Linked DNA regions of Drosophila melanogaster. The protein of the gene in region 1 interacts with the protein of each later gene in a pairwise test. Each region holds a gene or a part of one and is shown in the gene's direction. Other genes may lie near its edges.

Region 1 (7,595 bases):
TGTGATTCATGTGGCGCAATCTGCTTTATCTTTCCGAAATTTATCTATGTACCTCTAACCAGTGGTCATTATATGGCTTACGATTAGATTACCAAGGCTGTTCAGGTCTCCAAGTGGGCGGGGCCTTTCCCAGATCTAGATGCCAGTCATTCATGGTTTTATGTTTTGCCAGTGAGTAATGCCAAGCATAAACAAAAGAAGTACCGAAGTTCGGATTCCCCTTGCTTTATGACTGACTGTTTGAATAGGTGACTCGAATACGTTCAGAGTTTTAAGTTAACTGAGGAAATAAATAATCATATCAGACCAAAATAGAGTATGTTTTTTGGAGGTTCTTATATTTTATTTTTAAGTTTAAAGTTGACTTTGTGCTGTTACTTTGATGTTGATGTTGATCATTCGTATGACAGTTGCAAAGTGACACAATCTTGGCGTTTATGATCCTTATCATATATTCAGCAAATAGAATTTTTTTAGACGGTTAGCTAGACAATTTTACTACCGGATTAGCTTTTCGTACTTGTCTGTCCAAGCGGCTTTTGCAATCTTCCGGTGAAGAGTTGATGTTATTTTCCATCACTGACTTGAAAACAATACTTAATTTTGGGTTACTTTTTTTGTATTTTTAGGAGTACTGCGACCACGTCACTACTTTGTGGAACGATGTGGGTATTCGCGCCTGCTATGATCGCTCAAATGAGTTTCCCCTGCTGGATAGTGCGAAATAGTAAGTATCTAATTGGATTGATTCAAAATCAGATTTCTTTCCCATTTATTCAAAAAAAAACCTTACTAAAGTTTGAATTTTTTTTTACCCCAGCTTCCTGGACAACTTTGTGCGGATCAGCGATGCTGAATACATACCCAGCACCGAGGACATTCTGCACAGCCGTAAGATCACCACCGGCATCTCGCAAATCACCTTCCGCGTACCCATTCCCAAGAGCATGGGTGGTGGCGAACAGCAGTTCCAAATGTACGATGTGGGTGGCCAAAGGGATCAGCGGAATAAGTGGATTCAGGTATTCGAAGGCATACAGGCCGTATTGTTCCTGATCTCGTGCAGCGAGTTCGATCAGAATCTGCGCGAGGATCCCAGCCAGAATCGTTTGCAGGAGGCTCTGAAGTTGTTCAGAGCCGTGTGGCAGAATCGTTTCCTCGCCTCCGCCGGATTGATCGTGTTCCTCAACAAGTACGACATCATGGAGCGAAAGATTCGGGCCGGCAAGCACATTGTGGACTACTTTCCCGAATACGAGGACTTCTGCAAGAGGCCGCAGCAGGACAATTGCTTTGGCGAGAGTGACTGGACGAAGATGTTCATCAAACAGAAGCTGGTGGATATCACACAGGAGCCGTTCAAGCGACACTCACGGAATCAGGTGGATCTGGGTACCTCGGAAAGGGAGTGCTACTACCACTTCACCGTCGCCACGGATACGCGATGCATCCGTGATGTCTTCTGCGATGTCCAGAAGATGATCCTCTCGGAGAACGTGTCCAGCATGGGCCTATTCTAGTCCAGATCCCGTTGCGGATCGGAGAGCTTCTCAATAAAGTTAAGGGAGGGCTGTCCTCAGGCCCCCACCAACTGTGATCTAGTAGGATATGACTTACATAAGTAGCCATGTAAGACCGTAGATCGTAGTGGCAACCGTATGTTGCACAATGGCTGGTACAACGCTTTAATATATTTAACTGCATTGGGTGTAGAGGAAGAATCCTCATACCGAATGCTCTCACTACTCCTTCAACCAATGTCTAAACTCTAATAGAATATAGCATCTACAATAAACCAAAACACACCCAGACAATTTGAGAATGAGTTTTAAATATTTTTGCACCCAAAGTTTGGGTATTTGGGTCCCATGCAACACAAAGTGTAGCATACTTCAAAGGGCACACACGCTTTGAGCGATCTGATGTTGCCATAGGAAAGGAAAAGAAACCATAGTTGTTTTACTTTTGATCAAAATAGTTTCCCATTCGGAATACACCATTCTACTCTTTATACAAGAATATATAAGCTTCGTATTAAAACATTTTAAAATATAAAAAACATATTGAAAGGCAAAAAGTCATAGTGATCTTTTACAAAATATGCGCTTCTTATTCAAATTAAAAAAAAAGCTTATTCCACTTAAATGCCGTTTATCGATCAGAGCGTTATATTTTGTACGGTCGGTCTTAAATTTAAATGATGGAATCCACATAGTTCTTTACCATCGCTTAACTAATAGCCAAGTTACACACCAATGAGCTGTGGTCCTTACCTAATACCCATTACTCGTAAAGTGATATGGTATTTAAGTTTTGTGTCTACGTATGCAACACGAACAAAGAATCGTTACTTTCAACCAAATCAAAAAGTTAAATAAAGATCGATCATCGTTTTAACTTTTACCAGCTTACGTTCTCCCCAAACATTTTAACGATTCATGTCGGTATAACCATAAAACAAAAATATTCCTGTATAACTCGCGATACTGTTTAATAATTTGGGCATACAAATGCATCTTGCTACGCTTAACCAAAGACACTAGTGGCTTAACTGTTCCTTGCAACATAAGTAAGTTTGACTAGTACCCAATAGGAGTGGAACCAGTGTGCATAGAGCTCCACCCGCACGCAGCTAGATGTGACCGCACGCGAGCCGCAGAAAAATACCGCGATGGCAAAAGTACCAGCGCCATGATTGGTACTAAAATATCTCCTATATATAAGTATAGCGATAAAGCAGCCGAACCGCCAGCTAAACGTTCAGTTCGCTTTGCGCCGGCAAATTCGATAGTTTTTTGAGTTTGCTGAACCGAGTCGCTGGGGCAGAAGTGTGTGACAGCCAGCCGTGTGTGTTGTGATCCAGCCAATTGATACTGCGATAAGAGGCGGCGAGCAAATGTAATTACCTCATAGACATCAGCGTTCGAAAATAGTAACCGTGTTTTCTGTGATATCTGTGTGAGTGCGTGTTCTCGTTGATGTTTTGCGGTGGTTTGGTTTCCTCCTTATTTTGCGCCCCTTTTTTCTCATCCGATGCTGCGAGAGAGAACGAAAGAGAGGAGAGGCAAAAACATATTTCCCAGACATTTGCTGATTTAACCGAGAACTTTATCGATTCAGCAGGAACCAGAATACGAATGGAAAAAATTCGGCAAAGATCGCGTGTTTTTGCGTGAGAGCAAAGTTAGGGCGAGGAGGGGCAGTTTGTTTTTCGGAAACATAAAAACCGCTAGGAGCATCGAAAAAATTTCACTAGAAATTTTTGAAAGCGCTCGCGCAAAAAACCGGATATGTTACTCAAAAAGAAACAACAGAAAAAGCTTCCAAATCAAACCAAAGCGAAGCTTATGGCAAAACGAAATCACCTGTGTGTGCGAGAGTGAGTGAGAGTGCGTAAAAGTGTGAGCGCGTCGAGTGTGTGTATGATTAGTCGCGTGTCTGGCATGCAATTAGGCATTCAAACTAATTTCCCTCCCACCGGCAAGTTGCCCTGTCTCATTTGTATTTTGCTGGGTTTCGCTGTTTGCTTATGCATTCCTTCAAGTTCTTTTAATTCGCACGAGACTTTCGTGGGCAGAGAAAAAGAGGAAGAGAGAGCGCGCCAGACTGGCGCTCTCTGTAAACTACCACAATTACACTTTCCGTTACAGCCACCCCCTCACTCATGTGCTCCCAGAACACTGTGAGAAAAGTGATGTAATAACGGGGTAGCTTACAGGACTCAGAGTGTCCCTGGATTCAGCTATTAGTATTGTGATTTCAAGATATAAAAGTAGAATGTTAAAAAAAACCAAACTCGGAGACTCCAAATGTATTTAATTTGTAGTTTTAGTGTAGTTTTTCGGCTAGAGATTTTGGGGATCTTAAAATTCTCACATTTAAATTAAATATTTAAAATAAAACTCATGCACATTTAACTAAACTTAATTATTAATGTCAAGATTTTACCTCCGATTGACGAGCAATGTTTCTCTTTGTGTATCAAGTTGTTTGTGTATCCATTTAAGCTTCAGCACGAGGTGTGAAAAGTGTGAAAAGCGGAAGAATGTAGATGAAGATAACCACAAAGCGTGCGCCATTCATGAAAGCGTTGCACATCCCTTGCAGAGTGAGCAAGAGCGGGAAGGTGTTTGAAGGGGTGTGAGAGGGAAGAAAGATTGAGTAAGAGAGAGCCATGGACCAACGGTGTTTTTTTTGTTGCCTGGCAAAATCAATGAAATGGATGAATGAGAGGAGGAGTGGTGTGGGACGAAGGGGAAAGGAAGGTCGCCGAGAAATTTATGCGACAAAACGCGGGCTTTTTATGTGCCTGATTGTGTGTGTGTGTGTGTGAGAGAGCGCGTGTGAGTTTTGATAAGGGGGAGTGGTGCGGAATTTTTACTGAATTAAGCTTTAAACATCGTCGTGTAAAATCCCCATTACTTAGGAAACAGATAAGATACTGCAATCAGTAAAAAAAACTAAAAACATTCGACTCGAAGATAAATTGTAGTTTTAATAATTAAAGAATGTTCCCATAAGTTAAAAAATTATATTCAAAGTGTTTTCCTTTTTGTGTGCCTATTTTAAAAGTACGTAATGTATAAAAAAACAAAGTCATACAGAGCAAAATGAGAAAATTTAAACCGTCCTAGTTCATTGGGTACTTTCAGTATATTATTTTATTTATTCAAATAAAACAGCTGTATAGCTCGATGTATATTTAAATTAGTTTTTAATCAGCAGAAGCTAAAACCTATTGTTAATATTAAATTAATATTAATTTAATAAAATCGTTCTGGTGTACGAATAGCTATTTCTAATACGAATAGCTATATTCCTTAACAAAGTTGTACAAGATCTTTGACAAGATAGTTCTGAGTACATTAACTAATCTATCTCTACTTTCTTGTCAATCCACAGCTGCATATAACCCAAGTAACATAGCCACCAACTCAAACACATAAAGCCCACCAAAATGATCAACATGGACATTAGCGTTACGCCCAATTACTCGTACATCTTCGACTTCGAGAACGATTTCATACACCAGCGGACGCGCAAATGGATGCTAGAGAACTGGACATGGGTGTTCTACTACTGCGGCATCTACATGCTGGTCATCTTCGGTGGTCAGCACTTTATGCAAAATCGGCCTAGGTGAGTCTGCCACACTGAACTGAACTATGTGAACTAAAGCAGTTTTGCGATTAAAAAACATGTGTTCTTTGGTGGCTTAGATAGACAATTCAGTGAAATAACGGTTGGGTTAAGAACTTGCGCCCTTTGGCCTTGGAAAATTATTAGCTGGCGGCCGGGGAGCGGCGTTAATTACACCCACAAGTGCACACGCCCCTTGCAGTCGGTAGAAACAACTTTGCTGTTTATCGAAACCAATCCCTGGAAACCCCTATATTGACTCAGTCGCGCTTTGTTTCGGTTTATTCTCCGGAAAGACTGGAGTCCAAGTGTACATTTGTTATTAGCCCAGACAGCTGTTGAGTTCCACGTGTAATTATATTAAATTACGGCTAATCAAACACTAATGTTGTAGGTGAATCCTCAACTCGGGCTCAAATAGCCAACAATTCGCATTCGCACCTGAGCACGCACTATTCAGGTGTATTTTCCGATGGCTAAAGACCTATTTGATTGGGTATTTTAACAATTTTTCCAACAGTCAGCGCTGTTTGTCCCCTCCTTGTTACCTGATTTACCTGTGGTGGATCCAATTGGCGGCTATTCGTGCTGGCAATTGTCTCGTTTCGATTCGCTTCGTTTTTGCCTATGATACTGTGTTTGCCTTCCTGCTTCTAATTGTCGTCATCGGGCTTTGTGGCCAAATTAAGTTGGGCTCGTGACATGCCATTTAGACAGTATTTTTGCAAGATCATAATTCAGTTTTGTCACCTGGTTTGGAGCTGTTTATAGCCTTGCTAAGGCCACTGTGAAATTCGGTAGAAAGTTGCTACCGTCTAACAGAAAAGTTTATTATTGTCCAACTGGGGAAAACGGGCTATATAAGTTCCTTCTGAGTATCTTTCGAAACATACGTCTTTGTATTCTAAAAAATGTTAGCTAGATAAGTCTATTTGATGTGGCTTTCCTAACCCTGAATTCCACATCATGATTCAATTGCTTGCATAATGTAATGTGGAGTAGCGATTCCTGCCCACACTCCGACCCAAAGCCATTGGGTTTTTGGATGAGTTATATAGGGGCTTGGCCCTGGGTTGCTTGGCGATTCTCTACGCGGACACTCGTCGGGGGATCTGTCGGTTAATTTTTCACTTTATTGTTGTTGGCTTTGCCTTACACTTGGCTTTTTCGGAATGTCATTTCAATATTTGCCCACATGGAGGAGAGTCGGCTAAGCAAATGGACGTATGTACTTGGTACAGAAAGGTGTGAATTTAGTGAAAATGCAGGCGTTTCTTTCGAACTGTTGGGGTTAAAAAACTGACAAGGTAAGGATGAATTGGGCAAATTAAAACGGATTGATTTCCGCTTGCTCAGCATGGCTACTTAACTTCTTGAATACTCAAACACATGCATGAATATTCAATATTTGACGTTTTCCAAACCATGCCATGTTTAAGAATCTCTAATTAGCAACCACGGTTCTGAACAGCGTGTCAAAATTAATCGCAAACTTTGAAAGAATGCAAATGCACCTGACCGCATGCCACCGACTGTACATTTACATATTTAGAGAGTGGACTTCCCGCTTGCATTCCACCTCATCTTTCATGAATTTAATTTTTGAATTTCTGTTTTGTTTCACTCGTTTCGGACAGTGCGCCATTAAAGTCATTAAACTGATTAGGTTTATAGGTACACGCCATGTCGTACTCGTTTCATTTCAAATGCCCAACGGACAAAGTTTTCCACGGCGACCATGTGGCACGTATGTATGTACATATGTGCTTGTGTGTCATGCAAGAAGTGGGTGTGTCCACGCAGACGGGGTTGTGGGTAGTAGTCCTGGACGGAACTCCAACAGGACACTTTGACATGTAGCCGCTCTATAGGTCCACTTCAATTGGACACTGGTACACTGGACCACCTGATTGCGTTTACAATATTTACCAGCACTTTAAAGTGATTTTTGCTTTTTTTTATAGTTAAAAAGTAAACAAGAGGTCGAAGCCTTTGGAGAATTTTAATATTTCAGTTTTTAGTATCCATAACGTATTGCGTATTACAGTTGACATCTCCTTAAATGGTTAAAGATTAAATATGCCTAATAAAATTAGCTTATAAGCACTCTACAAAGAATCTATAAAATATAAGTTGCAAAGCCTTAATGGTCCATAAAGTAAGATATTCAAATGATGTAATATGCGTGAAAAACAAGTTCCTGTTGGCCAGTGTAGCTTTGGCGTGCGCAAATGTTTTGTGACCATATAAGGAGGAGGGTTCATAAGGGGGCGATATGAGATGGGGTGGGCAACGTGTGTGGGGACCCCAGTGGTTAAAATAGAAATCTGAAGCAGCGAATAATGTATGTATGTGTTTGCAGAGGAGCACGATGACCGATAATTGTAATCATTTAAATTTTAAAGCGATTGAGTCATTCAGTTGCTTTGGTTTCTCGCTATTATTCATGTTGTTCC
Region 2 (7,696 bases), on another chromosome or scaffold:
TGTGTTCCTCTATTCGAACCGGAAACGAGTTTGCGTCTTCTTAGCACTCCAGGAAAATGAAGGAAAATGCCCCAATTTTCAATATGAAATGGGTGGAGAATTAAAGAGACCCGTAACTAAAAATTTCCCTTTCCTCTAATTTGACCTGAGCAAAATGTCGCTGGACGACGAAGGAAAAATACAAAAGATGTGTGTAAAACAAAACTAGAGAATTTTTTTATTATTAAACATAGTCAAGGATAATCAACACGAGATGATGGAGAATTTGGATGATGATGGCAAAAATGATGATGAGAATGCAAGGATGTAAAAGATATATTTATAGAAATGAGCTATATGTATACATAATGACAGATTGATTATATGATTATATAGTAACTTATTGTCACAACGCAAGAGCAATCAATGTTTAACTTTATTAAATGTTACAAAGAGTTTTAAATATTAAATATACTTAATGAAATATATACAGATATACCTATATATTGCAGATTATATTCTATACATATAATTTGTAGGTGAAGCTGAGATGAAAATGAATAAAAAATACTAGTCGTACTCGTAGTTCGCCATTATGTTTGCCAAAAATCGGAGATAAATGTAAGAAAAGTTGTGTCAGCCATTGCAGAAATTCGAGGGAAATTATTGTATTTAGCAAAAGGTTTTCCAGAATCTCATAAAACTCCATTTGTAAATCTATTGTACCCGCCAAATAAATAATCGTGAACCACAATCCTTATATTCAAAATAAGCAAACCACAAAAGAAGAAATTTTGGAAAGGCACGGTTTGAAAAAAAAAACCGGGCTGGCACTCTTTCTAATTTTTTTTTTGTTAGCATTTATTTCAAAATCGTTATTTCTTGTGTCTTAGCAATAATAATATAATTAAAATGTGTGTGTCGCTCTGTAACTGTCTCTATTGTGTTTGAGATTACTCGTATCTTATAATGAATATTATTACTAAACTAAAGCAAAAGTAACAAAAAAAAAGAAAAGAAAAGTAAGAAAGCAAAAACGCAGGAGACGCGGAATGGAATCCACAACAGAAATTAAAATTACTAATTAAAACGATTACTTACAGTAGACTTAAGAATACAATGATTAAATAAAGAAAACGATTTCCTTACATTAACATTGGTGTAACATTTTTCGGAAAAGCTCTTTTGGCTTAACAGAAGTTGTTGAAGGAAATAGAAAAGCTTTTAACGGTCACTTTCCCAAGTCACAGTAACACTGCTTTCTGCAAAAGCTTAAAGCTTAAAAGTGTTAGCTTTTTGAAGCTGTTAAAAGTCGATATTATAGGTTTATTTTGGCTTAAACCAATAAACCAGAGTGAAATGCTGGCTAAAAGCTGTGGTCGTTTAAGCTTTATTTTTAAACGGATTTCCGTTTTTTTTGCTAAGCAAAGGTTATTTTTCCCCTGGGTTACGTGGAAAATAGCTTGTTGAAAAAATATAACATCAGTTAACCAACTTGTGTCGTGTTAACGTGTCAAACTTTTCCAATTACTCACATGCACTTGGGCTCACCCAAATAATTTACCTTATATCATATCCGTTGCATCCAGTTACATATCCGGAACAATAGTTAAACCAATTTCGAGATTAACAACACGATTAGTACGTATAGTTAATATCTACGTGGTTTCTGATTATTCAATAAATAACTTAGGAAATGTTATGGTTGGTGGGGAATTTCTTGAAATAAAAACTTTATTATTTTTGATATAATATTTAAACATATTTTGATGTATTGGCTTAAGTTAATAAGTTCGCATATAATTTGTGTAAGCCAGTCATTTATTTGAATTGCGATCAAGTGTGCAACCTTGGCGCACTGCCCCCCACTCGAGAACATGCTCTACGGCTGTTTAAACTTTGGAGATGGTTAATAAATTTATTTTGTTTATTTTCGGCCGGGTCACGCTTTCCCCAAATGACCCTCGTCATAAAACGCGCGAGAATCTCTGGGTAAATATAAATATAAGAATTGCACGCTTTGGTTTTTGTGCATGAAAAGTTTACTTCGCATTTCGGTTTCGGCCAATTGTTTTTCTTGGCCCTATCACCTTTCACTGCGAAATATGTCTAAACGAGAATGTTTTGTGAATCCATTAAGACGCAATAGAGAATTTTCCTATAGCTCGTAGAGCGTTCGGTGATGTCTCCGCAGCACTGGATTGGAAATGTATATATCTTTCTACTTGGCCACCTGATAGGCGAAACAGCTTTTCCCCTTCGAAAATCTCAAATTGTTCAATTCCGCTTCCAAGAATGCGGAACGGCCAGCAGGCGGTCAGGCAAAAGTTTTTAGGAGCCGAAACAGCTGTTCATTTGGCTGGTGACTGACTTGCTCTGCAATTAAAGCGATTTTTTTCGCGGAAGAAGGCCCTATTCGAATAGTTTGGATACACTCGAATTCTTGGGAGTAAATATTGAAGAACTTCTTCAAAATTCTCCTGCTCAGTTCTAAAACCAAAACAATGGGATTTACTTAGGTTCCGTTTCATATGTGTGTGAGTGTAAGCTTGTACTTGAGAACAAGTGCGTTTATTTTTAGCCGAGTATTGAATTAATTTTCGTACGGACTTGTAAAGGAGCTTACATTATTTTCGTAGAGCAACCTGGCAACCTGTTGAAGGGGCTTGCAACTCGAACCGCGTTCGCTGCCAGCATCGAGCACGTTGCACGTGGCAAGCAGCAATTGTGTGTTTACTCAATATTCTCGGCGTGCCGCAGATTGTGCCTTCCAGAAAGCAAAATAAACAAATAAAAGTTCCATGAAAAGGTATCATTTGTCAAGCGACAGCCGACAAATGAATACACATATGCATGTATGTATGTATGTATGTATGTCCTATGTACCCAACGACTTAGCGGCTTAAGTAGCTGCTCTAAATAATAAATTCAATTGTAATCAGAATCGTTTATGTAAATATTCAAATCGTCAATTTACCCGGACAGAGAGTGAGATAGAGAGAGTGTAAGAGTGTGACGTGGGGGGGGGGGGGGGTGGAATTGTCCTCCAATAATCCGCGAGGCAAGCAAAAGTCTGGGAGGGGGGGGGGTGGCAGGTGTAGATAAGCACCCCATTAAGACAACAATAAGCTCAACAAGTTGTTCTGGAAAACTGTCAATTAGAACCACCAACACGCACTGTGGCAGCAACAATTGTTCGAATGAAAACACAACATGCTGCATGTTGCACGCTCGAACATAGCCTTGCCATGGAATCGATGTTGCATCAGAGGTGTAGATGGGGGCTATTAGGAATTGCAGCGTAACTAAATAGTATTAGAACTTAAACGCAGAGCAGAGAACAAAGAAATGTGCACTCCGAAGCTGCGGAGTTCTCAAATAAAATGAAGCTAGCATTTTAGTAGAACTATTACTTGCTATTAAGTATGTACAATAATCTCAATAATAAGAACTAAATAATAATAATGAATTGGTTTGATGATGAAGCAAGCTCCTTGGGCAGTCATGAGCATACCAATGCAATTCTTTCGCTCTCGAAAGCGGCGCCTCTGTTTGAAGTCGCACTGCCTGTGAGTAGCGGCTGCAACGCAACATGTTCGATGGTTCGATGGTTCGAAGGTTCGATGCCTTCGGTTTTGGTTGGGCGGCGAGTGGGCTGCGCTAGCATCCGCTGGTCAGTCGCTCGCGGAGCGTCGTCGTGAACGGTCAGCCAGCGCGGCTAATAAGTAACCAACTGTAGTGACAGTGCGATAGTGACTCTGATCCGAACCCGAATCCCAGGCCCACAACAGATACGTCCAGCGTGTGGGCAGCCAGAACAGAGTGACAAGAATATCGGAGCCGACAACAACAGTAAACTGAAAGATAGAAAGAAAGAAAGAAAGGCCAACCTGCCGATTAAATTCCAATTGAGTGTTACGAGTTTTTTTTTCGAGTGAGTGCGGCGGTAAATATTTCGATCTTCTTCCCTTTTTTTTTTTTTTGCTGTGCCACCAACAGAAACCGAAAAATGCAAAAATTAAAAACCAATCAGTGAAAATCGCCAAAATTGCCAAAATATCAAATAGAAAAATATGGAAAATAGTTGAATCGAAGAAACGCAGACCGCAAAAATTTATAGAAAGAAAACAAACACACAACACACACACAAAGAAAAAACAAAAGGGGCAGACAGAAAGAAAGCGCTTTTATTATTTTATTTAACGATTTTTCTTCTTGCAATTTTTATTTTGCACACTTTGTTGTTGGGTCAGTCAGTTGGCGGCTTTCGCCACTTTACGAGCAACTTCCTTTTTTGGCCGGAGAAAAACCAGTCTGGCCAAGAGACCAAAAGACCCCTGGCCAAAAGACGTCGGTCGGTGGGCACCAAACACTGCGAATGTAAACAAAACAGCAGCAAACCGTATTTGTTTATGACTCGGCTTGGCCAGGATAAAGCCCAGAGACTTTGAGACCAACTAAATCCCACACCCCCAACCGCCAATCCCGCCCTCACCAAAAATATGATTTGCTAGCATTTCCCCCCATTCCCCGGCCGAGATTCTCAAGTGCGAGAGTTGCAAAAAAAAATGTGGTCCCCCCTCCCCCCTTTTATTGCCGCACCGCGTTGAAACGACACCCGGTGAAAGTTTCCCAGTCGCAACTTAGAACTCTCTTCATTTTCGGGTTTCTTTATTTTTTGCTTGATAAATGAGTCGCTGGCATAGCCCCCGGGGCGGTAAATCATCTCTGCTTGTGGCACTGACAATTTCACAAATTTATATATTTGCCACAACAACCGACCGAAACACTCACAGTCGAAAGTTTTCCACTTCGAGTGCAAATTTGACTGGCTTGGAAAAGTCCAGGCGAGCAAATTGGCCAGAGGTGTTGCCAACGAAAAAAAAAAAAAAAAATGAATTGGTAACGAAAACAATTGACGAAATCGGAAGTGACAGCATGATAGTTCAAGTTCAAACACGCATAATAACTTCATTGAAAACTGTAAACTTGAGAGTAAACAATAGTTTTCAAAGATTTCACGAAGTGTCTTCAGTTCAGCATATTAAATATACCCAAATACGGTTTCAAATTGACATAGATTAGTAATTTAACATAGGAACAGTTAAAAAAGTTAACCAGCTGGTGTGATAATATCTATGAAATTGTTGGTTTCTGGAACTTGAGAGATTCGCAAGTTCTAGCAAGCAGCGGTTGTTAATGCATATGAATACGAGACATCGAGCAATTTCGAAGATATTCCACGCCAGTTATCGCCCCCCCCGCCAGTAACTGGAGGCCAGCTCTAGCTCCCATTTTTAACTGGTTACCCCGCTCGAGAATTCACCATGTCGGCTCTCGGTTTTTTCCTTCGCTTTTCGCTTACTCCACACAACACAAATCGAATTGAATGGCAATCTGGAATATGCCAGGCAGATCCAATTGCATGCCACATATGCAGATGTAATGGGAGAGTTGGCCCACTCGCCACCCCCTTGTAAGCCCCCATCGAAACACCAACACACCCCCCCCCCCCCGGCCGCTTACAAAAATTAAGCCCCCTTAGCCGCCCCGCCAACTGTACCGCTGATCTGCTTGCCTCATTGCCGGTTAGAAAGCCAATGGAACGAGTTTCGTTGAGTGTGCAACTAATTTTCTAAATTGTTGTCGCTGCTGATCGTTGAGCGTGGCAAAAAAAAAGTAAATAAATAAAAAATACACACATTATTTATATGGCCAACGTCGCACAAAGAAATTATCTGTCACCAACATTGGTCATCAATTTTGATGGGTTTTCGGCGTCTAGAATAAGCCCTTTTATCACTGACGTTTTAATCAGATCTCTTCTTCAGAAGTATACAAAATCACGGTATGATCTTGCTTGAAGATGATTTCATTTTGCTAAAACGTGTTTTAATTCACTTTTAAATCATGAATCATAAATATAGGTATTTATGTGACTATTTTATATAGGGTAATACGATAATACAGAATCGTATATACGTACGTACTTTTGTAAAATAAAAAAAATTTAAAAACGGAATAATAAAATGTATATTTATGGAAATTTTTGAACGATGGCATATTTAAATAGATAAATAATTATGAGAGTGTGGGTGATAAGGCAAAGATTTTAGATTCAAAACCATCCATTCATCATTGCGAAGATCGAACTGTCATTTTTGCGATTGATTGATTGAATTTTAATAAAAGTCTTTGAAGTCGGACTTATTTATTATTTTTTTTTTTTATTGGGTTTTTCTTCTCTTGCGAGTGCGTCGTCATCATTTAATGGTGAAGATAGAAGAAGAATTATCCGAGCCCATAGAAGGCGAAGAAGAGGAAGAAGACAGGGCTAAAGAGACAGAGCGAGAAAGAGAGTAGGAGAAAGGGAGAGAGGGATAGAGAAATGTTAATGGATTAGGAAGCGAGCTCAAAAGGCAGCGTAGAAGAAGAATCGAATCTCGGCTACTTGCGACATTAGCCCTCTCCCTCCCACTCCCGCCCGATGAAGGCGGGCGCGAAAGAGAGGGGACGAGAGGGAGAGCGAGAGCGGAATTGAATGGCCAAAGGAAAGGTGAAAAGAGGCAACTTGGCTTAGACGATGATGATGACTGTTTCTTCTGTTTGTGTACGTATGTGTGTGTGTGTGTGCGGACAAACAGGTATCACGCACACACCTACAGACACACTCACACCTGTGCGGAATAACTAAGCAGCGACCCGATTTTCAACAGAGAGCCAGTGAGAGAGATAAGAAGAGAAGAAACAGAGCCAAGAATCCGATCCATGCCATGCGCCTAAAACTATTACAAATCTATAACAAATCTACCACGAATCTACAAACCACAAGAGATCTTTTCACAGATCAATTTTATTGGGATTATTCAAAAATTTCCAGTTTCTGTAGTGGGGTGATTAAAGGAACCTGCATATATGTTAAATGTTTCAAGTCATTTCATTTCATTTTTATTTTAATATTTTAAATCACATTTCTTGTGACACGTGTTACTTCAAAGATTATCCATCAATGTAATTTGTTGATAACTTATCTTTTACATTAGACAATAAAATAAATTGCGTTCCATTTAACAATCAAACGATTTGGTAGTAAAAAGGTATGAAACTCCAACGATATTATGACTACGTTTTCGTTTTGAATAGATAAAAGTGCTTCTGTTAGCTTTCTGATTCTTCTAATTAGTTATTTCAATTCCGATTGATGGAGTTATATTCTTAGGCTCTGCCTTGCATACATAGTATATCTCTAAGCTACATATATATATATAGGCCGAAAACCAATATGCAAAAACCAGAAACAAGTAGTCTTCATATGTAAAACTCTGTTCTCATTAAGTTCTGGACAGGTCATAATGATGTTTCGCCCCGTGTCGTTCCATCGTTCGCTCTGTCTCTTGTGTACTTGGATAAAATAAGATTTTTTTTGTGATTTTGCCGGTTGCCACACCTGAAATTCAGCTCTCTCTCCCTCTCTCTCTCTCTCTCGCTTGCGCCAACGCAGCAGCAGCAAGAACAAGAACGACCAAAACGAAAGACTTAAACGACATACGTGTCTCGCGCTGACGTCGCCGCTCTCTCTCTCGCTCTTTCTCTCATCCTCTCTCGCTCTCTGATTGCTGTGTTTTTTTTTTCAGTTGGTTTCCAAAGGCGCGCCGTCGCAGTTCGAAAACCGCGGCTCTCGCCAGCAAAATAAAAAAAAAAACAACAGCAATTTAAT
Region 3 (7,556 bases), on another chromosome or scaffold:
CATCATCAATGTCACATCGCACTACCTAGGAGTTCATCTAGATCGGAGACTGACCTGGAGGGCCCACATCACGTCGGTCAAATTTTAGTCACTGGCGAAGCTAAAAAAGCTCGACTGGCTCTTCCACTCCAGCAAACTACAAGTGAGCTCTAAGGCTCTTTTAATCAAAGCCATACTTGCTCCAACGTGGAGTTATGCCATCCAGGTGTGGGGAACTGCCGCCAAATCCCAGCTCAATAGGCTCCGTGTCGTCTAGTCGAGAGCTGCACGTCGTGCTTTTGGGCTCCCCTGGTACGTGACAAACAAGGTAATCGAAAGAGATCTGAAAGTTACCCCTCTTGGGGATCAGATTAATTTTCACAGCAGCCGTTATGCCGACAGGCTTATGGTCCACCCGAACCGACTAGCAAATAGCCTATCTAATCCCATCTCCCTCCGAAGGCTGAAGAGGGTACACCCCACCGATCTCCCTACACCCTTACACAATAAGTAATTAATAACTAGATACATTTTCCCTTTTGTACTTAATAATTAAGAAACCACTTGGTCTAATATACCTTTATACACACATAAGGTTAAGTTCAGAGGAATTGACCGAACGATTCCTTTTGGAACCAAAATAAATAGAATGAAGTTTAAAAAAAAAAAAATATATTGTTATATATATACAAAATTGGAGGGAAAAAGTCTCTTTAAAGACACTTCATGTTCCACCTGTTTCCAATTTATCCTGTTTTATCGACCCTTTAATGATCTCAGAATTCCATGTCTGACTTCTGTCTCAAAAAATAGTAGCCAACAATAAAAAATGAGATTGAGACAAACCTGTTGATATGCGTTGGGACCATTTTATTTATTATATTATATGTATGTTACATTGTTAAATTGCGTTTGGAAAAATGCCTACATAATACTTTGACACTCCTTTCGGTCGTTCTTATATTATTCTAGCCTGAGATGGTTTCATACATCAAAAGTGAAGTCTTTAGTTTTTATAGTTGTATTCAAATATTTTTGGGCGCCACTGATTACATAGGACAACTTAAATAACTAATTTTTTCTGAATCACAAGAACAGACATTATTTGCCGTCTCTAACATAGTTAAGCGTTTTTTTTTAAACTATATTATATTAAGGCTCACAGAGCAAAAAATGTGAAATAGTATAAGCAACTTACAAGTAAATGCGAAAGAATTGACGTGCGGTCAGCTTCTTGTTGCATATTGGGCACTTGTGCGTAGCTCTGATGGCTGTTTCGATGCATTCGCGGCAGAAGACGTGTCCACATTTGGTTGACACTGGCTCGCGCTTCGATACACTGTCCATGCAGATGGGGCACTTGTATAACTCCTCTTTTTGGGACTCATCAATGTCGCGATTAACGCGTTTTGGTGGCGACGCAACGTCGAGATCCACTACCGGGTCATTTTCGGCTGACCGACGTGGCAGAATGGTGAGGGAGTCGTTGGAGTGAAGATTCACTGTGCGACTTCTTGGGCCTTCGGGGGTGCATAGATCGATGAAAGCATCGGGATCACGATTCCGAGCGGATCGAACAGGTGGTGCACGGTCCAAATGGGACAGATCTATCACTTCTACTGGACTCGCTACGGAAAAAGTAAGAAACGGTATTCGGTTTATTGCTAGCTCTATCCGCGAAAGCTATCTGGTTTTCACAAAATTTTAAAAAATATAGATAAATTTTGCCTTCAAAAGTAAGTAACCCGGCAGGGTTATAGAAAGAACTATGTCATTGGTTATTGTGGAATTAAAAACATTGTTCATTGTGAAACCCAGATGCGTTCATTTTGATCTGCACTTACTTCTGCGGCGAATTCTACGAGTTGTTGGCGTTGAGGTTCTCGTGGCGAAGGTGTCAATCTGTGCCACAACTTCCTCGCAGTAGCGATTCACTGAAATATGAAACAATTAACAGAAAACTTCGTAATGATTATGGAGTGACATACTGCGATCCAACTCTGCTTCCATCTGGATCACATCCTGGGTAAGTGATCTGATCTGCGAATGAGCATCTTCAGTCGAGACAGACAAGTTAGCCATATTTAAGGGGTTATTGCTTTGCGGTGACTGCAGTTGGTTTGAAGCTTCTCCGACTGAAGATTCGCTGGTATTGGTGGCTGAAGATGAGTCTGATTCCACAGATAAATCACGCTCCACTGGGGATGGGCGTTCCAAGGACGAATGGGAATCAGCGGATGAATCAGATTCCGCGGATGACTGAGATTCCACGGATGTATTGTGTCCCGAATTGGATTCTATGGATGAATGGGAGTCCACAGAAGAGTCGGATACACTGGAATTGGAGCTCGAACTGGATACGTTGCTGTCCGCTGACTGATCAAGAATGGATGAGTTCTACTAAATAAATCAATCATAAATCGGAATTAACTAGTTTAAAGTCCAGGGTATACTTACAAAACGGAAAATAGTCGAATCTGACATTGTTCGAGCAACAAATGACCAGGAAACTTGTGAAATGATTTCGTAGTAAAGACAAAAGCAGGTGAACCCAGATATACATGTGCTTTAGTGCAGATTGAAATGTGCAAAATAGTTTCCTCCTTTCACGCGACCATTCGGTTATTTTAAAGATGACACTTTACGGACATTCGGGAACAAGGATTTAAGATCGACTATCGATTTTTGCGGTATTATACAATGCTGTTTAGAATGACACTTGTAATTCAATAAAAATCAATAATTTATTAAAAATAAAATTTCCGTTTCGGCGAAATTCTTTGATAACAAAATAATTATAAGAAATGTATATAAATATGTCGACATTACAAAACCATACCATCACTATGTAAACGATATTTTTTAGGCGATTAAATGCCATCGATATATACCGTGCCGTGGTAGTGTTAGAAAATTGCGGGAATTAACGTTAAATGCACGTCACCAAAGCAGAATAATAGAATATTTTCGAAACAAAACAAAGTTGGAGACATGGACAAGGATGCGTTTACATTACAGGCCATACGGCAGGACCTTATCGATAACAATCTGCAGGCTAAGGCAATAATACACGTAAGTCTCCGCTATCTGAAGAGAAACCCTCATTACCGAGCTTCTGTTTTTAGGACATCCTGAACAGCCGCACCTCCATCGCCGAACTCGAGGAGCTGAACGAAGCGGGCCGCTCCAAACTGTCTGCTATCCGCAAAAGCATCGAGCGGCTGGACGACTGGGCGCGGGACACGGCAGACTCTGCGCTGGCCAATGAAGTGGACGACCACCGTGATCAGTTCTCCAAAACGCTGCAGGCGTTCCGAAAAGCAAACGTGTCCACGATGCTGGAGATCGAGAAGGCCAATCGGGAGGAGTTAATGGCCATTACCGGCGAGAGTGAGCTACGCCAACGAACCACAACACGGGCGCGGCACAACCAGGGCAGTCTGGTTTCGCAGGAGAACGACGTGACCGAGAAGATGCTGGCTATATCGCGGCACCTCTCGGAGACCACCCAGAAGAGCGCCATCACCCTGGAAACGCTCGTGGCCTCGTCGCAAAATGTGGAGGCCACCAGCGACGAACTGCACCACACGGCCGGCAGCATTAGCATGTCCGGCAAGCTGCTCAAAAAGTACGGACGACGCGAGTGCACTGACAAAATGCTGCTCTTCTTCGCCTTCTCCTTGTTCCTCGCCTGTGTCTTTTACATCGTCCAAAAGCGACTCTTCTAAGACTCCACAAATGGACAAAACCCGTTCCCAAAATAGCTTAAGGTTGTCGCTTCTGTTGTCTAGGTATAGCTAGATTAAGCTTAGCACATGACCATACCTTGTAAGCACAGCTCCTATATTTATATTATTTAGTGATTTGCCTAAGTTGTAAACGTGGTACAGCCAAAGACCCTAGAATAACAAGATGCGTAACGCCATACGATTTTTTGGCACACGATTTTTTGGCCGTGGCTCTAGAGGTGGCTCCAGGCTCTCTCGAATTTTTGTTAGAGAGCGAGAGAGCGAAGAGCGCTACAGCGAACAGCTCTTTTCAACGCACAAAGTGATAGCAGACATCTGTATGTGTGCACACGTATTCACATGCATTGTAAATTTGACAAAATATGCCCTTCACCTTAGAAGTTCTTTGGCTTTAAATCTATATTATTTTTTATCAATTGGCACCATGCGAAAAATTCTTGTTTTGCATTGCCTTAACGTTATTATTATTTGAAAATAGATTAGAAATAGTCAAATCTATGTACATATTATCACAAAAATAAATTTCAAAAATGAATTTATATAAGAATATTTGTCATTAGAGTATTCATCTTGCGGCGTGTGAAAAATTAATAAGGCAATGATTGTTGAGTGCTTGTGTCCGCACTTCGTGCCTCAAGATATGAACAAAGCAAAGACACTAGAATAATTCTATTGTCTTTGATATTACTTTTGCAATTTAATTTAATTGCATATTTAATTATTTAGTATATTTATTAAATCATTTGACTTAATATGATGTAACATTAACATTAAAAGTGTTTCAAAAAAAATATTTCGGTTTTAAAAAATTGTCAGATGAGAGACAAATTAGAATTAAACATAAATACAAATGTGTAAACGGTAGCTAATTCGAGCGGCGATTTTAACAAAGAAATTTAAAAAAGCTTTAAAATTATAATAGCCAGGGCGCGAATTTTTAAAAATTTTTTATTTTATCATATTGCTAGGAAATTGGCAAAAACTACCCTAATATGTACCATGTAAATTCGTTTCTTCGATCAGAATTGATTTCGGCCCGAAAATCGTCTTCTAGCACAACACGCACACTTATACGCGTTCTCGTCTCTTGTTTTTACTCACACAAGCAAGCAAATTATATTTTTAGATTTCTTACGCTCTAAGCGGGAGTGAGCGGAAAGAGAGTAATTTTGGCCGTCACCAAAAAAGTGGCTGCATAGTGCCAAACCAATGTATGGCCGTTACGCATCTTGTTATTCTAGTGTCTTTGGTACAGCCTAGTATAGTATGGTAAATGCAATTTATTTTTATTTAGAATATATGAGTGTTGTATATGTAGATAAAAATGTTAAGCAAGTTAGTAAGGGCACCTAGGCACTCCTCCGGGGTTTGTGAATCCGTTGGTGTTGACCAACCTGCAGATGTCCTTGTATGACCGCGCCGATTTTGCAGGCCTTTCTGGCTGTGGCTGGGAATAACCTCTGTTGTAATAGTCAGGATAGAACTGGAACCAAGAAGGCCTGTGGTAGTTGTAGTCGGGAAAAAATTCTTTAAGCACAGAGCTGCTGCAGAATCTGCTTAGCCCCAGAATCCACAGCAGAATGTATATAATCGACTTGCGCATGGCCACTTCGCCTGAGCTTAAGATTTGGAATAAAGCCGTACCCGATTCTCATTGTATACGCCTGGCGCACTTATGAAGCTTGTGCGACCTCGCACACAGTGGGAAAGTAATTGGAATCTGAAATCTATGCGTGATTGTCGGAATAGCTGATAGCGGGAGTGTTCGCGTGCCCCAGCTCAATGCTATCGTTATCTACAAACCATTCGGCCTTTAAATTGATGTATGATGAAAGTTTATTCAATGTGTGGTTTTTGACGTTTAATAAGAAAAATTCGATTTTGAGAAATGCATTTAAAATGCAATTTTTATTTATCGCAGTGAAGAATAAAATAATATATTTTTTCATTATATTTGTTACCAATTTAACAAAAATATTATGTAGTTGCTTTTTTAAAAGTCTTTCGGGTCAATAAGAAAAAAAAAGCTTACAAACAGAGTATTATGTTCTAAGGAATAGGACCTAAAAACCCTCATTACCTAATTGGTGTTTCAAAAACAGGTTTATGTGGTGCAAAAGGACAAATTTTGCTAACAAAAAAAAAAAAACACTTTTTTAAAAAAACTAACTTACAGGCGCCTAAAAAAAATTATAATCGATTTGTCATCGATTTTTTGGTCTTTAAAGTACTATAGCGGCGCATTATATACTAACCAAAACGAGTTGGCAGCACTCGTGATGTTTTGATTGAAAAAACAAATTAGTTTATTGTTTTTATCTGTTGTCGCCAAAAATATTATTTAAATCAATATGAGCACCGCCGTAGAAGTGGCTAACACGGCTCCGGAGAAGTTGGCCAACTACTTTGCGCTACAGTCGGCGTTTGAGGTAAAACGTTGATGAATGGCCCCGAAACCGGCAATGTTCCGATCTGATAGAAAATAATAATTTTCAGAAAGCCCTTGAATTGGCCATCACCGACGGCAAAGTGGAGCTGTTGGTCAAGGAGTACAATAGATTCCCGGCCAACACCGAGCACGACAAGCGCTTACCCATGGACCACGCGTTCCGCGTGCTCCTGATGAAGCGGCTGGACGAAGATGTGAGTCGCATTGGAGAGCTTGTACGCCTCTCCGTGGAAGCCACGCGGGCCGAGATTGTGTCCAACACCATACCCGTGGTTCTGCTGATCGACACCTTCGACGTGGTCACTCTGGACAAGTGCCAGAAGATATTTCAGTTTGTCGAGGATATGGTGGAGGTGTGGAAGGAGGAGATCTTCTTTTCCTCATGCAAGAACAACATTCTACGCATGTGCAACGACCTGCTGCGTCGACTTTCGCGCACCCAGAACACCGTCTTCTGTGGCCGCATCCAGCTTTTCCTCTCAAAGTTCTTTCCCTTTTCGGAGCGGTCTGGCCTCAACATCGTCTCCGAATTCAACCTGGACAACTTTACGGAGTACGGTCTGGACAGCAAAGACCACGACGAAAGCGACAACAAGGAGCTGGAGGATACCGCTGAGGACATCCCCCTAAAGATCGACTACGACCTGTACTGCAAGTTTTGGTCGCTGCAGGACTTTTTCCGAAATCCCAACCAGTGTTACAATAAGCCGCAGTGGAAGATGTTCCAGATGGTAAGCAGTGGCTTGGCACAATTACAATTGTAGAATATATATATATCTTGGAAAGAGATCAAAGATGTTTGCCAGCTAGCTTGCTCATAAATATTGGTTATTAATAATCCTGCCCCATGTTGGTTCATATTCATATATTGTTACTTTCCCCTTCCAGCACGCTGACAACATACTACAGTCCTTCTCGAGCTTCAAGCTGGAAGACGTGCGCCAAAGTAGCAACGAAAATGCGAGCGGTACTGACCAAGCAATGGATGTGGACGAGGAGGCAGTAGACACCACGGCGGTGTCTTCCGTCATCAAGGCGAATCACTTCTTCGCCAAGTTTCTAACCAATCCCAAGCTTTTGGCTCTGCAGCTCTCCGACGCTAATTTTCGACGTGCTGTTCTGGTGCAGTTTCTAATTCTATTTCAGTACCTGCAAGTCAGTGTAAAGTTTAAAAGGTTCGAATATGAAGAAAGTCCAGGGAAAACGAACAAACTTTAATGATTGTACTTTCAGTGATACTCAAACCTTGACTGCAGACCAGGCGGACTTTATCAAGGAAACAGAGTCGCGTGTTTATAAGTTGCTAGAGGAGACACCACCGTACGGTAAGCGGTTTTCACGGACAGTGTATCACATGCTGGCCCGCGAAGAGATGTGGA
Region 4 (7,949 bases), on another chromosome or scaffold:
ACCAAGTGGTGTTCACTGTCTTGGACTTACCTCTCTCCACCGCCTCTGTGAATGCTTGCCGTATGGTGGCCATATTGAAGGCTGGATTAAATCTGCCGGAGGAAGAGGTTAAATGGGTTTATATGGGCATAATTCTAGGGATGTTTGCACTGCTGTTTAGGATCCTACCCATGCTCGGAGTTCATTGTGGCGACGAGAAACGTTGAATCACTTGTGTGGCAGCCTTTTTTTTGCTCCTTCTTTTACTGGTTCGTATTTTTATTTATATTTTTGTTATTATTATTATATTCTATTACGTCTGGTTTTGTTAACTATTTGCCGGCTTATGTGCTCTTCTGTTTTCTTTTTGTTGCTGTTGCGGCGGGGCAACAACACAAATTAGCGAAACGAAATAACGGTTTTTCCTCTGCAGATCTTCCGCGCACACACACCTGCACTCCCACACAAACGCACACACACGCGCGCACACACACACACAGGGAATAACAGCCGGCCGCTATTTTGTTGCACTTGCTCTCCTACTCTCTATCCTTCTCTCGCTTGCTCTCTTTCCAAGCTAATGGAATTGGAAAAAATAAGCTGAATAGTTTAAATAAAAGCAGGTACAATTACCGCTGACATAAAGTAGATCGCTGTTGTTATGAAACTGACATCTCAGATGCGTGCATGGGTGTGGGTGTGTGTGAGTTGGCTCAAACAAATACGTTTGATCTCTCTTTCTGGCCAAGGCAACAACAAATTACTGTGCTTTATTCACTTTAGTTTGGAGCGCAATGCAAATTGATTAAATGATTAATGCACACACACGCACACACATTAATAGAGACATTCATACGCGCGCAAAGGGTTTCCAATTGGAAAAGGAGAAGCAGTAAGCCCGAAAAATCCAACTTGTTTACTGATGTCCACTTAATATTTTATTAAGTGAACTGGGCAAAAAACGAAAACAGCTGCCAGCGATAGCATAACTGACATACATACATACATATCGATTGCATTAAAAAGTCATGAAATAACGTCACTCCTATATACCCTATAGTATATATTTAACACGTAGGGTTTTTTTCTTGCGAGCTTTCCTCGTTTGTTTTCAATGTGATTTTTCGCCTGCTAATTTATGCGATTCGCTGGAAGGCCTACACACACTTGCTCACGCACACACACACATATATACACTCATGCATGCCTTTTGGGCCAACAAGAAAAGGGCAGGAAAATCTATGGCACACTTTTCAACGGGCATTTCCGTTTTAACAAATTGGATGCATTCGCGCACTTGGCGGCGTTACGTTTTTTTTGTTAATGAATAATCAGGAAACACGTTAGCTTTTTTCAACTATAAAATTTAACAACGCGACAAAAACTAAAAAAAAAATTTCAACACACACGGCCCGTCGTCGCAAGTACACGCACACACCTTCGCTTTTAACTGGAATGATTCTGCAATTGAATAAATGCCTATTCTAGCACTGCATTTACGCTTTAGCACATGTTCGCTGGGCCAACTTGGCGCTGGTTAATCGCTATTTTAAACGCCACAAAATCAACGTAACAAGTAAAAAAAAATGTTTCGTCGAGAATATGTTGATGATGAGCGCAACAGTGGTAGTGGGTGCGAGCGAGAGCGCGATATTTACAAGCAGTGTGCGCAAAAGGCATTAACGCCTCGCGCTGATAGGCGTTAGCGCATTTGATGGCACAGTGGGTAGGTATTCAATGATTTATCAACCAAACAAATAGTTATACGGAAAATATCAAGACTGAGGCATAAATCATTACAAATTAATTGTGTTTATCTGAGAGATAAGTAACAGTTTGAGTTTAATATTCGTTCAGTTAATTTGATTGCCTTATCAAAGTAAAAGATGCACTTAATTATATTTCCATGGCATTGCATTCGAACCGCAACAACTCACATGGAATGCCAGTAGAGAAGGGGCAGTTTTACCAAAATAAAAGAGATAATAGGGGGACAATAAATTGCATTTACACAGGGTGATTCAACGATTTTCTTTTGCCACACCACAGCACAAATAAAAAAAAAATACCGCTATGCAGAGCGGTCAATGGACGGTCACACTGCGATAACGTCATTTTTGAAAAACACTTTCAAAAGTCTCATTTTCTAAAGATCGACTGGCGAATCTTTAAGGGTATGAACGAGCACCGGGCGGGATTTCATCTCACCTGCGATTGTTCTCCGGCGGCAGAACGCTCCAGTCCTGCTCGTAATACGGATACATGGTGGCTTCTCACTGGAGCACGGAACTAAACCGAATGGAATGGGAGCGGGAGCGCGTTCGGGTATGGGAATGGCAGCGATAAGCGGCGAGTGCTTCACATAGGCCTTATCTAATGTACACTAATAATTAACAGGTAACGCTCTTCTTTTCTCTAGCTCTGGCTCGAGGTCTAGCTATCTAGCCCTTGCTGGCGGCCGATCATTTCCAGTCCGAGCGGTGGAAACTCCTGCGGAAGACTGACGATTCCAGTGCCACTCACCAGGTGTTGTTTTTAGTTCATTTTCATTTTCCTCCGCCTTTGCTTTTTGGTGGCACACACAGCACTTATCTATCGGACTGATAATGGTAATAATAATGCTCCCCCCGCCGTGAGAACACCACAATCCCGTCTGTTTGCTGGTTGTTTCTTTCCGCGGTTCGGTGTCGTTCGGTTCGGATAAGCGGAGCCCCATTGACAACCGCCATATCGAGGTGTACTACGAGTGCAGTGCTGTTAGATAAAGAAGCGACTCTCCCGATTTTGGTGGACCTCGAATCGCCCACACACTTTGTGGCTAACGATTAACCATAACAGCTGCGAATGGATTCAGTTTTATTACATTTTTGGCATCCAAATACCCATGTATCTGGGTTATTAACAGAACAAAGTACTTCTTCAAATACATCTTCAAGTACTTCTGAATTTATAGTTCTTGCACTTAATTGGCTAATAAGCATTGCGTTCTTTGTTATTCTAACAATAGTATTTGTAATTCGTTGTCCTATGCAGAAGTCTCACAGCTTTCTAACATTGTTTTCCTCATTTTCTCAGCAGTAGTTAACCGAAAAGAAAGGTCTTTGCAAATAATGACAACGCATCTTTACAATTGGTATCTCGCAATCTCGTCTGGCTAATTACAAATAAGCGTTATCCTAAGCCCCTAACTTACAAAAGTACATGTCTAATTAAAGCCAGTGGAGGGCCGACTACCAGGCCCAGATGTCTTCTGCTTGATCTTCTAATCGTTTTCCCGCGGCGGCCGCACCACCGCATGTCGTTTGATGGCCTCCACCAGCCACTTAATGCCCTCGTCCACGCCCTCGCCGTGCAGCGCGGATACGGGAATGGTGAGGCAATCTCGCCGCCCGATTAAAGCACCCGCCTGCTGGAAAACTGGCTTGATCTCCCGCACGCCCATCACATCCGGCAGATCCTGTTTGTTGGCCAGGATTAGCAAAGGCACTCCGGACAGCAGTTCGTTCTTGATCATCTTGTCTGTGGGGAAAGAGAATAACACATTTTAGGTGAACCTTTTTCCTTTTACCAGAGATCATCAGAATAGATCAAAACGAGTTTTGTTCAAGGGATTAGTTCGAAGACTGTTTTCGCTTACCAAATATCGCTTTGGACTCTTCCATGCGCTCCCTGTCGTTGGAATCAATCACGTAGATGACGCCATGCGACTCCTGGTAGTACTTATCCCAGAGAGATTGCAGCTCCTGCTGGCCACCAAGATCCCAGAAGTTGAGGCGTACGCCCTGCACGTCGATGGTGCCGATGTTGAGGCCCACCGTCGTCGTGATCTTGCTCGGATTGAGGCCCTTATAGTTACGCGTAAACGTGGTCTTGGCGGCCTCCAGGTAAGTCTACGTGGGCACAGGTGTTAGTTTCCGATTGGACATGAGGCTTTCATTGGATGATTCAGCTGCCTACCGTTTTGCCAGCATTGTCCAGGCCCAGGATTACCACGCAGTAGTCGTCCTTCTGAGTCATGTATTTGTAGAAGCCGTGCATCAATGTGTACATTGTATTGTGTTTTTGGCCAACAAAAACAAAAACTTAAATTGTTGACTGAACTGCTAGCGATGGCACTGCCAGCGGCTAGGGCGATGCGATAGTATCGATCGGGCAAGTGTCACTTATATCTATCTAATTATTAGGGGGATGTCTATAAATTATATTTTTAAGTATTGCACAGTTCTGTTAAGGTAATAAAAATAAATTATTCAAATTTTCTCTGATTGCCCCTGATTTTTATAAACCATATTGTAGTATTTTGATAAGAACATTCGAAATAATGGTCCAAATATGGAATGTCATACCTCGTTAAGCTCGTAATAAAATTTCAAATCAAACTGTGTTCAAAAATGCAAATTCAATTTTTTGACCATTTTTTGCAAATTTTGATGATGTTTGATGACCATTACCAATCCACTACCGATTCGCGTTCAAATTTGGAAAAAGCTATCGCTTTGTTATTTCTACCAATTTGGTTTTCTTACGTCTTAAGAAAAACGCAATATATGCAATCCATCCCTAAAAGGGACCATACTCTATAGCATTTTCTTATTAGCAGTCTGGCAACCCTACACACCCGTACGCTTGTGTGTGTCCGTGTGCGTGCGTGTTTTTTTTTTCGACTTTTCCATTATAGTTTTTGTGGCTTGCATATTGAAAAGTGATTTCACATAAGAATTGATTCGCCACAAATAACAGATAAGCTATGTCGCTATCAAGCCTGCTGCCCACGCCGACGAACGCGATCTGGGATCGGGAGGACGAGCGTCGCCTGGTCGCCCGCGGAGCACCAAAGATCGGAGCCCTGGTCTCCGCCAAAATCGCTGCTCCGCCGTACGGACAGCGTAAGGATTGGGTACCACATACGGATGCGGACTTTGGCGATGGCGGCGCCTTCCCGGAGATCCATGTGGCGCAATATCCACTAGGTGGGTTCCCGTTCGTGCTAATCCCACTTTCTCTGTGCTTGCAAACAATGTTGTCGCGGTTTTTCGTTGGTAATGGTGTCCTCGTAAGGGAAATAACCATTAGCTTCTTATATGTGGGTGATTGTACAGCGAGAAGGCTTCAATTTCCACCACATTAAGTTAAACGTTTGCTGTAGAATGTTGTATTTTTGTATTTTATGATCAGCATTTTGAAGCGTGGCTTATTCAATTGAAACAATTTCTGCGTCTTCTTCATCTTCTCGACAGGTCTGGGAGCACCAGGAAATGTTGGCAAGAAGTCGGATGCTCTGGCCGTTCGCCTGGACGACAAGGGAAAGGTTAAATACGATGCCATAGCACGCCAAGGACATGGCAAGGACAAGATTGTGTACTCGTCCATTTCGCAACTGCTGCCGGCGGAGGTGTTGGCCGAAGATGCGGATGAACTACAGCGCCCGGACGAGGAAACGGTGATGGAGACGACGGAGGAGACGCGCCTGGCGCTGGAGAAGCTGACCAACCAGAAGATCACCTCAGCGCTGCCCGTGCGCCATGCCCAGAAGGCGGGTCCCGCCCAGTACATTCGGTACACGCCCTCGCAGCAGGGCGATACCTTCAATTCGGGCGCCAAGCAGCGTGTCATCCGGATGGTGGAGGCGCAGCTCGATCCGATGGAGCCGCCCAAGTTCCGCATTAACAAAAAGATTCCACGAGGTCCACCATCGCCGCCGGCACCTGTCCTCCACTCACCATCGCGCAAGGTGACGGTCAAGGAGCAAAAGGAGTGGAAGATCCCGCCCTGCATATCGAACTGGAAGAACGCCAAAGGTGCGAGCTAATGTAAAACTAGAATCCTCTTCATTATCCTAATTAAATCTTTGCCTCGATATCAGGTTACACCATTCCACTGGACAAGCGTCTGGCAGCCGATGGACGCGGTCTGCAGCAGGTGCACATCAACGAGAAGTTCGCCAAGATGGCCGAGGCGCTGTACATAGCCGATCGCAAGGCGCGCGAGGCGGTGGAGGCACGCTCCCAGCTGGAAAAGAAGCTGGCCCAAAAGGAGAAGGAGAAGAAGGAGGATATGCTGCGTATGATGGCGCAGCGGGCTCGCGAAGAGCGAGCGGGACTACGCAATCCGGAGGCAGCCGAGCCATCTGGTTCCGGAGCTACAGGATCCGAGGTGCGTGAACGCAACGACTTGCGGGCAGAGCGGCAAAGGGAGCGCCAGCGGGATAGAAACCTGCAGCGGGCGGCTCCCGAAAAGCGATCGAAACTGCAGAAGGAGAGGGAGCGTGACATTTCTGAGCAAATCGCTTTGGGTCTGCCCGCCAAGAGTGCCGGCAACGGTGAAACGCTCTTCGATCAGCGTCTATTCAACACCACCAAGGGCATGGACTCCGGTTACGGTGATGACGAAGCGTACAATGTGTACGACAAGCCGTGGCGCGATTCCAATACACTGGGCGCTCACATCTACCGACCCAGCAAGCAGGCGGATAGCGATAACTACGGCGGTGATCTGGATGCCATTGTAAATACCAAGCGTTTCGTGCCAGACAAGCAGTTCTCCGGTGCCTCCAAGGAGGCGGCCGCTGGCCAGAGGAGTGGACCCGTTGAGTTCGAGAAGGAGGAGGATCCCTTCGGTCTCGATCAGTTCTTGAACATGGCCAAAAAGGCGCCCAAGCGTGCCGAGGAGAAGAACAACGAGCGCAGCAGCCATTCGGATCGCAAGCGCAGCAAGCGCGATTAGACAAAAGCTTTAGCGTGAGGATTACCAATCATCGTTGTATCGTCATCATCATCATTGCAAACACTATTCACCATTCACCAACCAAACAAACGTTTTTTTTAACTACTCCAACAACTTGGCGAGAATTTCAATAATAATCACAGGATCTTGACATAAACATGAATGTGTAATTACGGGTTATTTGGCATAAGTGCGCTTGGAGGAACCTCAATCAGCACACATCCGATCCAGAATCACAGATTGGTCAGTGAAAGATCAGTGGTGTGACCACATACGGCGATGGTTTGATTGCTCTTCACGTGCGCATCCATGCGGGAGAAGGTATAAGCCGAGGGAGCAAGGATACTGGCTTCCGGATCTAGAATATAATACAAAATAAGCAATAGTATGATAGAAACTTTTAAAATATGATGACCATCTTTTTGGCGCCTATAATCAAAGAATAAAGTGACCCTCTTTTGCCAATAAGCTTTCTAGCGGACCTTTTTTGTAGTGTTATACCACTCCGTTGAATTCCGTTAAATTAATAGGAATGCAAATAATGTATTTAAGAAATAACCAATCCTAAGGTACTTGATTAAATGTAACAGTAATTGACTGTCACCCTGCCTACATATATTATTCCAAATTATGTTTTCTTAAACTTGCAAATTTGTTCACTACGCAAAATATAAATGAAAAACAGTATTTCGCCGGTATTTTTAGAGCAGCTTTATCGTCCGCACGCACGCTGGTCACACTGTGTGACATTGAGTTGACTTTAGTTGCATTAGTTTAATTGCAATTTTATTCGATTTATTCGCAAATAAGTGAGCAGCCCAACGTCGAAACTCGAACGGCAACGGTCCACACCGCCATCCGCCGCATCCCGGAGAGAATGCGCTGTCCTCGCGGCGAATTCCACGGATTCAACGGCTTCTAGCGGCCGCGAGGTGTTCCGAGGAGCTCTGGGATTCTAGCACCACCTCCTCCACTCCGCCGAACCACAACAAACGATCCACAGCGATCCCAACCGATCTGATATTATGTAAGTTGAGCGTGCCCGCGTCGTGGATGGTAAACAACAATCATATCATCGAAGGCACCCTATTCCATACGCCCAAGCAGCAGTAATCCCATATTATATAGCCCTCGCAGCTGACCTTTTCTAGAATCAAAATAAACTCTAATAACCAACGTTGTAAACAAATATGTATGTGTATGTATGTCGATAAGCAAGGGAATCAAGATCATATGTATGCTTGTCA

What was found.
Region 2: the proteins of Baldspot (region 1) and mgl interact in a two-hybrid assay, tested with the Drosophila melanogaster proteins (one large-scale study listed by BioGRID).
Region 3: the proteins of Baldspot (region 1) and Sec20 interact in a two-hybrid assay, tested with the Drosophila melanogaster proteins (one large-scale study listed by BioGRID).
Region 4: the proteins of Baldspot (region 1) and Bx42 interact in a two-hybrid assay, tested with the Drosophila melanogaster proteins (one large-scale study listed by BioGRID).

Annotation. Positions count from the first base shown.
Region 1 is NT_037436.4:16,656,774-16,664,368, reverse strand, and holds the start of Baldspot (baldspot), read left to right. Parts: upstream 1-2,753; 5' UTR 2,754-2,898; exon of another isoform or gene 2,899-2,958; intron 2,959-4,902; 5' UTR 4,903-4,957; coding exon 4,958-5,139; intron 5,140-7,595. Other genes in the region: Galphaf (G protein alpha subunit f), read left to right, coding at 630-727, 821-1,520. UniProt on the Drosophila melanogaster protein: Catalyzes the first and rate-limiting reaction of the four reactions that constitute the long-chain fatty acids elongation cycle. This process allows the addition of 2 carbons to the chain of long- and very long-chain fatty acids (VLCFAs) per cycle.
Region 2 is NC_004354.4:9,496,103-9,503,798, reverse strand, and holds the start of mgl (megalin), read left to right. Parts: upstream 1-3,669; 5' UTR 3,670-3,925; intron 3,926-7,609; exon of another isoform or gene 7,610-7,696.
Region 3 is NT_033777.3:5,819,856-5,827,411, reverse strand, and holds Sec20 (secretory 20), read left to right. Parts: upstream 1-2,907; 5' UTR 2,908-2,970; coding exon 2,971-3,051; intron 3,052-3,104; coding exon 3,105-3,707; 3' UTR 3,708-5,064; coding exon of another isoform or gene 5,065-5,331; 3' UTR 5,332-5,386; downstream 5,387-7,556. Other genes in the region: dgrn (degringolade), read right to left, coding at 1,174-1,607, 1,824-1,913, 1,968-2,376, 2,437-2,463; CG46303 (uncharacterized protein), read right to left, coding at 5,065-5,331; Hpr1, read left to right, coding at 6,080-6,157, 6,225-6,908, 7,066-7,352, 7,411-7,556.
Region 4 is NC_004354.4:9,103,225-9,111,173, reverse strand, and holds Bx42 (Bx42), read left to right. Parts: upstream 1-4,569; 5' UTR 4,570-4,726; coding exon 4,727-4,949; intron 4,950-5,216; coding exon 5,217-5,777; intron 5,778-5,842; coding exon 5,843-6,702; 3' UTR 6,703-7,304; downstream 7,305-7,949. Other genes in the region: AP-1gamma (adaptor protein complex 1, gamma subunit), read right to left, coding at 31-92, 2,188-2,243; Arfrp1 (ADP-ribosylation factor related protein 1), read right to left, coding at 3,242-3,498, 3,617-3,869, 3,937-4,029. UniProt on the Drosophila melanogaster protein: May play a role in chromatin structure and function.